Canis lupus familiaris: one gene and its partner. The protein of the gene in region 2 purifies or fractionates together with the protein of the main gene of each other region. This does not show direct contact. Links are inferred from orthologs where the notes say so. Each region holds a gene or a part of one and is shown on either strand. Other genes may lie near its edges.

Region 1 (4,263 bases), on a different chromosome or scaffold from region 2:
AGTTAATAAAAATATCCATAAAAGAAAAATAAATAAAAATAAATATGGGAGAAATGCACAAACATTGCTGGTGATCATATTTTGGAAAGAAATTTTTATACGTCTTGAATCCTGTCCTTAGGATTTATCTAAAAACAGGGGAAACTTCTGTGCTGAGATTTTAGTTTATTGGAGTCTATAAAACAATGACGTACAAAGTTTTTATTCAGGAACTAATAATGGGCAAAAGAAACTATAGTATGTGGAATCATCGGAAAGTCCTGTAGCCATCTAAAAATGTGAGTGGATAGGGATGCCTGGGTGGCTCCGTGGTTGAGCGTCTGCCTTCCGTCCAAGGCGTGATCCTGGAGAGCCGGGATCGAGTCCCACATCGGGCTCCCTGCGTGGAGCCTGCTTCTCTGTCTGTGTCTGTCTGTCTCTCTCTCTCGGCCTGTGTCTCTCATGAATAAATAAATAAAATCTTTAAAAAAAAATGTGAGTGGATAGAAGGGGAGGTGGGTGGCAGGTGGGGGTGACTGGGTGATGGGCACTGAGGGGGGCACCTGATGGGATGAGCACTGGGTGTTCTATATGTTGGCAAATTGAACACCAACAAAAAATAAATAAATAAAAATATAAATAAAATAAAATGAAATAAAAATAAAAATGTGAGTGGAGAACAATTACAACGGAATTGCACTGCACAGCCAAAACCCAGGCTATACTATTCATGTGCCGTGGTCACAATTTGGTATTTAGAGACCCATGATCCGTGTATTAAACGACTAGTAATTTGAATATGTGAACCAAAATGGTAACTGAGGTGTAGGATAAAAATCATAGCCCAAGTGCTTTATCGAGGAACAGTTTTAAGCATCTTGCCCCCAGGGCCGCCGCCTCTTCCCCGTTGCCTTCCCATCTATACAAAAGCCGCACGTCATCGTTATTCAAAAGGCAGAAGCCAGGAAGTGTAAATCTTTAAAAAAAAAAAAAAGTATGAACTTAGGAGGAGAGCTCAGGCGCCGTGAGAAGCTCGCAGCACACGCGCAGCACCACGCGGGCGCCCCTGGAGCCCCAGGCCGCGCCCGCTCCTCCGCGCGACCCCGCCCGGCCCCCCGCCCCGGCCCCCGCCCTCGGCGCCTCCCGCACCGCTGCTCCCCGCCCCCACGCGCCCGCCCGCTGACGGGGCCCGGCGGCGCGCAGGCGCAGTAGCCGCCGCGGCCGCTCCTAGCCCGGGGGATCCTGGGACCAAGCCTTTCCGGAAGGACCGGCTCGGCGTCCGGGGCAGAGCCCGCGTTCCAGGCCCAGGCCCGAGCCAGGCCCGCGGTCCAGGCCGTCGTCCCTGCACCGCCGCCGGCGTCCGCGGCGACGCTCCAGCGAGCGCGGAGGGCGCAGCGGGCCGCGCGCTGAGGTGGGCCGGCCTCGCCGCGTCGCCGGCCGCAGTACGTGGCGGCGCCTCCCCCTTGGCCGGGAGCGGAACTGCTGGAGGAGCGGCGGCGCAGGCCGGACCGGGCGAACCGGGTCGCTTCACTGCCTTCAGGTGATGAATCGTCCGCAGAGCAATCAGATTTGAGGTCCGCAGCCCTCCGTGGCCCTGCCCGCCACCAGTTTTGAGCGGATGACCGGCGGGTGTGTTGGCGGGGTGCCGCGGTGACCGCTCGCCCTTGATCAAGGAAAGCGAGCCCTCCTGCTCGGGGCGTGCGCGGCTCGTCTCCTTGAGAGCTTTCAGGCCACAGCCTCGTTCCCCGGGGGGCCCGGGTCTCCGCGGGAGGAAGGCTTTCCCATGAAAGTGTCCCTCGGCACCGGCGAAATGGGCGTCTCCGCCCACCTACAGCCCTGCAAGGCAGGAACCACGCGTTTTTTTACCAGCAACACTCACAGTTCGGTGGTGCTGCAAGGCTTCGACCAGCTCAGAGTAGAAGGCTTGCTTTGTGATGTGACCCTGGTCCCGGGCGACGGAGATGAAATCTTCCCCGTTCACAGAGCTATGATGGCGTCCGCTAGTGATTACTTCAAGGCAATGTTCACAGGCGGAATGAAAGAACAGGATCTGATGTGCATTAAGCTGCATGGGGTGAACAAGGTTGGGCTGAAGAAAATAATTGATTTCATTTATACTGCAAAACTTTCTCTCAATATGGACAATCTTCAGGACACCCTTGAAGCTGCCAGCTTCTTACAGATTTTGCCCGTCTTGGACTTCTGTAAGGTGTTCCTTATTTCGGGAGTCTCTTTAGACAACTGTGTTGAAGTTGGGCGGATTGCTAACACCTACAATCTGATCGAAGTGGATAAGTACGTCAATAATTTCATCCTGAAGAATTTTCCTGCATTGCTGAGTACCGGGGAGTTTCTAAAACTCCCCTTTGAACGGCTTGCCTTTGTGCTTTCTAGTAACAGCCTTAAGCACTGCACTGAACTTGAGCTCTTCAAGGCCGCCTGTCGCTGGCTAAGATTGGAAGACCCTCGGATGGATTATGCTGCAAAATTAATGAAGAACATTCGATTTCCATTGATGACACCCCAGGATCTCATCAATTACGTGCAGACAGTAGATTTCATGAGAACAGACAATACTTGTGTGAATTTGCTTTTGGAAGCTAGCAATTACCAAATGATGCCATATATGCAGCCAGTGATGCAGTCAGATAGAACTGCCATTCGATCTGACTCGACACACTTGGTCACATTAGGAGGAGTTTTGAGGCAGCAGCTGGTTGTCAGCAAAGAATTACGGATGTATGACGAAAGGGCACAAGAGTGGAGATCTCTTGCCCCCATGGATGCTCCTCGTTACCAGCATGGTATTGCTGTCATTGGAAACTTTCTTTATGTAGTTGGTGGTCAAAGTAATTATGATACGAAAGGGAAAACTGCTGTTGATACAGTTTTCAGGTTTGATCCTCGGTACAACAAATGGATGCAGGTTGCATCGTTAAATGAAAAGCGCACGTTTTTCCACTTGAGTGCCCTTAAAGGACATTTATATGCTGTTGGTGGGCGAAGTGCGGCTGGTGAACTGGCCACAGTAGAATGTTACAACCCAAGGATGAATGAGTGGAGCTATGTTGCAAAAATGAGCGAGCCCCACTATGGCCATGCTGGAACAGTGTACGGAGGCTTGATGTATATTTCAGGAGGAATTACTCATGACACTTTCCAAAACGAGCTCATGTGTTTTGACCCAGATACAGACAAATGGACACAGAAGGCTCCAATGACTACAGTCCGAGGTCTGCACTGCATGTGTACAGTTGGAGACAAGCTCTATGTCATTGGTGGCAATCACTTCAGAGGAACAAGTGATTATGATGATGTTCTAAGCTGTGAATACTATTCACCAACCCTTGACCAGTGGACACCAATTGCTGCTATGTTAAGAGGTCAGAGTGATGTTGGAGTTGCTGTCTTTGAAAATAAAATCTATGTTGTGGGTGGATATTCCTGGAATAATCGTTGTATGGTAGAAATTGTCCAGAAATATGACCCAGAAAAGGATGAATGGCATAAAGTTTTTGACCTTCCAGAGTCACTTGGTGGGATTCGAGCTTGTACTCTCACAGTTTTTCCACCCGAGGAAAACCCTGGGTCACCTTCTAGAGAATCCCCTCTTTCAGCACCTTCAGACCATTCTTAGGACTAAAATGTAGTACCTTTGCAGTGCATCATGGATGATCTCACACTTCCCCTTAAATTGTATCTTCTTAAAGTGATTGGTGCAGTTATTAGGTTAAATGGTAACTGATGTTATTTGTATTGCTTGGCTCAGTGTGTTTATCCGTATGGTTAACAAATGCATTCTGAAAATGTATTTAACATAGCCAGCTGTTTTAACAAATGTAAAAAAGATATGTAGAAAAATGTTTTAGATGTCTTTGTGGTGTTGTGTAAGTCAAATTGTAGGTGATTGTAGTAAATGTGTAATTATGTTCGTTTATGCTTCAAAGCTGCAAGTTTTCATCTTTCACTTCAGAACATCGAAGGGAGGCTGCTTGCTCTGACCTAAAATAGTAAAAGGTCGCCAAATATCACCTACCTTCCCTTTTTTCATAATAGTTTTTGACATCGTTGACAATTCACCAGATCGAGTGCATTCAGAATATGTGAAGTTTCCTAGATAGGAGAAATAAACAGCGTACAAAACCCTAAGTCAGGATTTTGTATCTCTGGAGAGAGGGAAAGGGAGAGAGGAAATATAGGTATGTATGCACATAAACACATCCGTATGCATACATACATGTGTATATACATTCATACAGCTGTACACATACATATATAATTTTA
Region 2 (4,416 bases):
CAAAACAGAAGATCGCTAACTACCGAAGTATCCAAAGGCTTTTATGTTCTCTCAAACCATCAAGAAGATGCCATGAGGGAGACAGCACCGGCGTTTCAAGGATGAGAAAAAACTGAGCCCAGAGAAGATAAGGAATTTGACCTCGGCCCTGCCAGTGGAAGAGGAAAGCACGAAATCATCCCAGCAGCGCTCAATGCCAGAGCAGCAACCAGGCACCAATCCCAGACCCCTTCTACTCCTCCCAGGAACCCAACAACACTGCTCACCCTGTGGCGATGGCACCAACTTCGCCCTTAGAGCCACTCGTCCTCTTGACGTCCCAGACCTTCATTATCCTCTAACTCCACAAAAAAGAACAGTCCTTCTCTGTCCCTCCTCCCTGGAACTTCCCCGGATGTGGGCAAGGCCTGAGCTCCTCGAGGTGCCCTGACTCTGCCCCCCGCCCCCCGCAAGCTCCTCTAACCTGCCACCTGCTTCGGGGCTCCCGTGGCTTGGCACTCTACAACCGCAGCACTGTGGGGCTGGCAGACAGGGCTGTGACCTCCCGTCAACCTTCTCTGCTGACACAGAGGACAGGACTCTCCCAGTAGGTTCAGTGAGCCCAGATGGAGCCAGCTTTCCTGACTCTTAGGCAACAGGCCTCACCAAGCAGGCTTCTCAAACTGGACCCAGGATGAGCACAGGGTCTCAAACGGAACAAATGAAATGTCCTTCTAAACTAAAGATCCTAAAACATCTTGGCCTGGAGTGATCTTTCCTACTGAAGAAGGGTCCTTAGAGCTCTGCATCTGGACTGCCCAAGCCCTCAGAACTAGCAGGAAAGTCTCACACCACACCAACACTCCAAACCCCACAACATCGGGAAACCTTCAAGGTCCATAGTGGAGCATCCGAACAGCCCCATCCACCCTCTTTGCCTGCATTCGCAAGAGACCCCACACACGTGCTGTGGGTGGGTGGCCACAGAAGAGTCTCTTCTACCAAGTGAGGTGCAGAGAAGAAAACTCCTGGGAGGCAAACGACCTAAGCCACAGTGCCACTGCGAGTCTCTCAGGGTGACTCGGCATCTTCGTGCCCCATGCACAACATGCCCCTGCCCAGTGCTGACCCTGCCTTTCCAAGCCTCCTGCCAAATGCCCCTGTGCACAGAACTACAGCTCCCAGGACTCACCCTCAACCGCCCAACAAAATACCTGGGGCGTGTCTGCTTTCTTAAAGGTTCCTGGGCAGTGCAGGCTGTTGGGAATCAACGTCAGAAAGGCTGGAAAGCAACCCCTGGATTTCTGTGCAACTTGCTGCCCTCGCCACTCCCCTCACCCCCCAGCACGCATGCAACCCCATGCTTCTCCATCTGTCCGCTGGGATTGTCCCCCAAGGTGCTGCTCTTAAACCACCCTGGTTCCTCCTCTCCCGCCCCTTAACGCTTGGCCTGAAATTCTAACTTGTCTAAAACTACGCTCTTCTTCCTCAACTCAGCAAACAGTGCAGGTACCGCTCATCCTTATTCCAATCACCCGGGTCCTCTCCCATCCATCCCTCTCCTTGCTGCCACTCCCCTGGTTAAACTGGCCATCCAGTCTGGGAAGTAACAGGTGTTCTACACGCTGGTACCGCCCCGACGGTAAAACGAGAGCAGACACCAACCGTTCACGTCGGTGAGGACTAGCGCCTGGTAGGTGCTCCGTGATGGTTCTTTCTGCTCCTCCGGGTCTTTCCTACATGCTAATGCCACCCCGCCTGCCACGGGCTAAGTAGTAGAGCACAAGGATGCGAAATCACAAAGAGGGAGCTGTGAGTTCCAGCTCCGCGAGGGCTCTGGTGATTTCACCTGACCCTGCTGAGAAAGCAGCTCGCCGGCCACACTGGGCTGCACAAGCTCTACGTCACCGAGACCTCCCTAAGGGCCCGCGGGCAACCAACCCGCAGCTTCCCGGCCACCCAGACGGCACTGCTGGCCACTGAAACCCCGAGCTCACGCGTCTGCACACAAGCACTGAGGAACAGGACACCTGACCCGCCCGCAGCGCCCAGCCTGACTTCAGGGGACGCCATCTGCCACCGCACCGCAGACTGCGGGAGGGCCGCCAGCAGCTCCGTCTTCTCAGGTTCCTGCCAGCTCGGCCCCACCTGCCCTCAACCACGTTTCTGCGACTCCCAAACCGCCTCTAAGTCGCTGCCCGCAAACAGCCCTGTCCTCCCGCGGGCCTGCGCGGCTCCGTCCCCGCCTGGACCGCAGCGAGCACGGCGCAAGGGGAGACGAGATCCGAGCGAGGCCCGCCTCGGGGCCGGGGGGGGGGGCTCGGGGCGGGGAGTGGGAGGGCTCGGGGCCGGGGGCTCGGGCCTGCGTGCGGCGGCTGACGACGCACGCACAGGCCGGAAACACCTGCTCACCGCTGCGGCCCGGTCTCGCGCTCCCTCCCGGCGCCCCCCTCCTGCCCCCCGCCCACACCCCAGTGGCCGCGCGCCCGCCGCTCTCGCACGACGGGCCGGCGCGCGGGAGGCGGGGCCGGACAGGAGCCCGAGGGGTAAACTGAGGCCGGGAGCGGCGGGCTCCCCCGTCCCCCGAGCCAGGGCCGCCAGCCAGCCCGCCGCGCGCTACCTGCAGCACCAGGGCCTGCGCCGCCCCGGGCGGGAAGCCCATGCGGTCGGACGGGTGGCGCAGCAGGCGGTAGAAGTCGGTCTTGCGGTAGAGAAAACCGAAGAGAACGCGCAGGAAGTCCTGGACGTTGCCCACGTGCTGCAGGATGCCCAGCAGGGCCTGGTCGTACAGTTCGGCCGCCCCAGGCTCCATGGCGTCGCCGGCCGCAGGGACGCTGCTCACTGCGGGCGCGGCCCGGACGCCGGCCCACGGCCACTTCCGGCACGCTGCAGTAACGGCTCCGCCGCCGGCGCAACTTCCGGTCTGCGCCCGCCCGGCCCCCGACTATCGGGGCGGGCCGTGGGCACCGGGGCGACCCTGCCGCGAGCCTCGCCCCCGCCGCCCGACCGGCTTCCCCGGGCAGGCTCGCGGAGGACCACACGTGGGCCCCGACGTGGCTCCTAGGCGCCAGAAAGCCCGCGCCTGCAGGACCGAGAGCGCCCAGCGGCCATGTTGGAGACGGGCGGAAGGGGTGTGGCTCGGGCCGCGTCACGTGGGCCCCGTTGTTGTCACGTGGTGGCGGAGCACCGCCCCTCGGGGGGAGAGGGCCCGCCAGGGGGGCGCGGAGGAAGCTGCGGGCTGGGTGGCCCGGGCGGGGGCGCGGGGGTGAGAGCTGCGCAACCAGCTCGGGGCTTGGGGATGCACACGTGTAGGCGGGTGTGGCTCGTCCACCTGCGCGCGCCGCGCTCACGTGACGCCCTCGGCCGCCCAGTGCAACTTGCCGGAAGCTGCAGACAACTACGCCGGCTCGGGGGCACGAGGGGCCCGGCCGGAGCTGCCCTCGGGCGGCAGAGTGAGTGACGTCAGCGGCAATGCCCTGGTTCTGAGAGCCCTGGAGGAGCTGGGTCCCTAGGACCTTGAAACCGCAGTGAGGTTGCTAGGTTGGGTACGCAGCTGGCTGCTCTCCGCAACTAGGATCTGCAAAGGAGCGTACATCGCCGCCGTCCATGGGCTCCAATTAACCGTAGATGGAGTTAGACCCGGATAAATTGCCCTAGGGCAGTGACGTCACACACTCCTGACGCTTACTGAAGACTCCAAAGGCCCTTTATGTGCGCCCTTCTTATAGTTAGCATATCGGATGTTAAAACTCAGAATTTAAAATTTTTTATTCATTTTTTTTAAAAAAAAACATACACAAGCACATTACGTGTTAACATTTTTATGAAGAAATAATGTTCTTCAAAGCAATGAAGTTTACCCAGAAGAGTAGCATAGCTTTACATTTTTCACAAATGTCTTTAGTGTTGGGCTTAATAGAAAACAGCAAGAGTCTCCCACCTTTCACTTTCACTGCATTGCAATACGTTTTGATCGAAACATATGAAGAAACCCAGTCTTACGCAGATTGGAGTTGGAAATGAGAGGAGTGTTTTGTCTTTTCAAATACAAGCATTTTTTTTTTTTAAGATTTTATTTATTCACGAGAGACACAGAGAGAGAGAGGCAGAGACACAGGCAGAGGGAGAAGCAGGCTCCATGCAGGGAGCCTGACCTGGGACTCCATCCCGGGTCTCCAGGATCACACCCTGGGCGGAAGGCGGCGCTAAACTGCTGCGCCACCAGGGCTGCCCTACAAGCATCATTTTTTGAGGCCAAAATTGAACGTGTGGTAGTTTCTTAACAGCTGTAATATGGAATCTGAAACATAAATAAATGTTTCCTAATCGTCACATTGGTATCTCTCAGTCTGTAATGCACTTTGAGTGGATCTTTTACATGCATGATTTCCTAACATCAGACTGGAATGCAGAATATGGCCAAACAAACCATATTAC

What was found.
Region 1: the proteins of NUDCD3 (region 2) and KLHL9 purify together in Homo sapiens (co-immunoprecipitation; 3 studies listed by BioGRID and IntAct, with this or other methods). This does not show direct contact. The link is inferred for Canis lupus familiaris from reciprocal best matches to the Homo sapiens genes NUDCD3 and KLHL9.

The regions. Positions count from the first base shown.
Region 1 is NC_049232.1:40,905,315-40,909,577, forward strand, and holds the start of KLHL9 (kelch-like protein 9), read left to right. Parts: upstream 1-1,400; 5' UTR 1,401-1,762; coding exon 1,763-3,616; 3' UTR 3,617-4,263.
Region 2 is NC_049237.1:14,165,046-14,169,461, reverse strand, and holds the start of NUDCD3 (nudC domain-containing protein 3), read right to left. Parts: upstream 3,091-4,416; 5' UTR 2,792-3,090; coding exon 2,600-2,791; intron 1,950-2,599; exon of another isoform or gene 1,645-1,949; intron 1-1,644.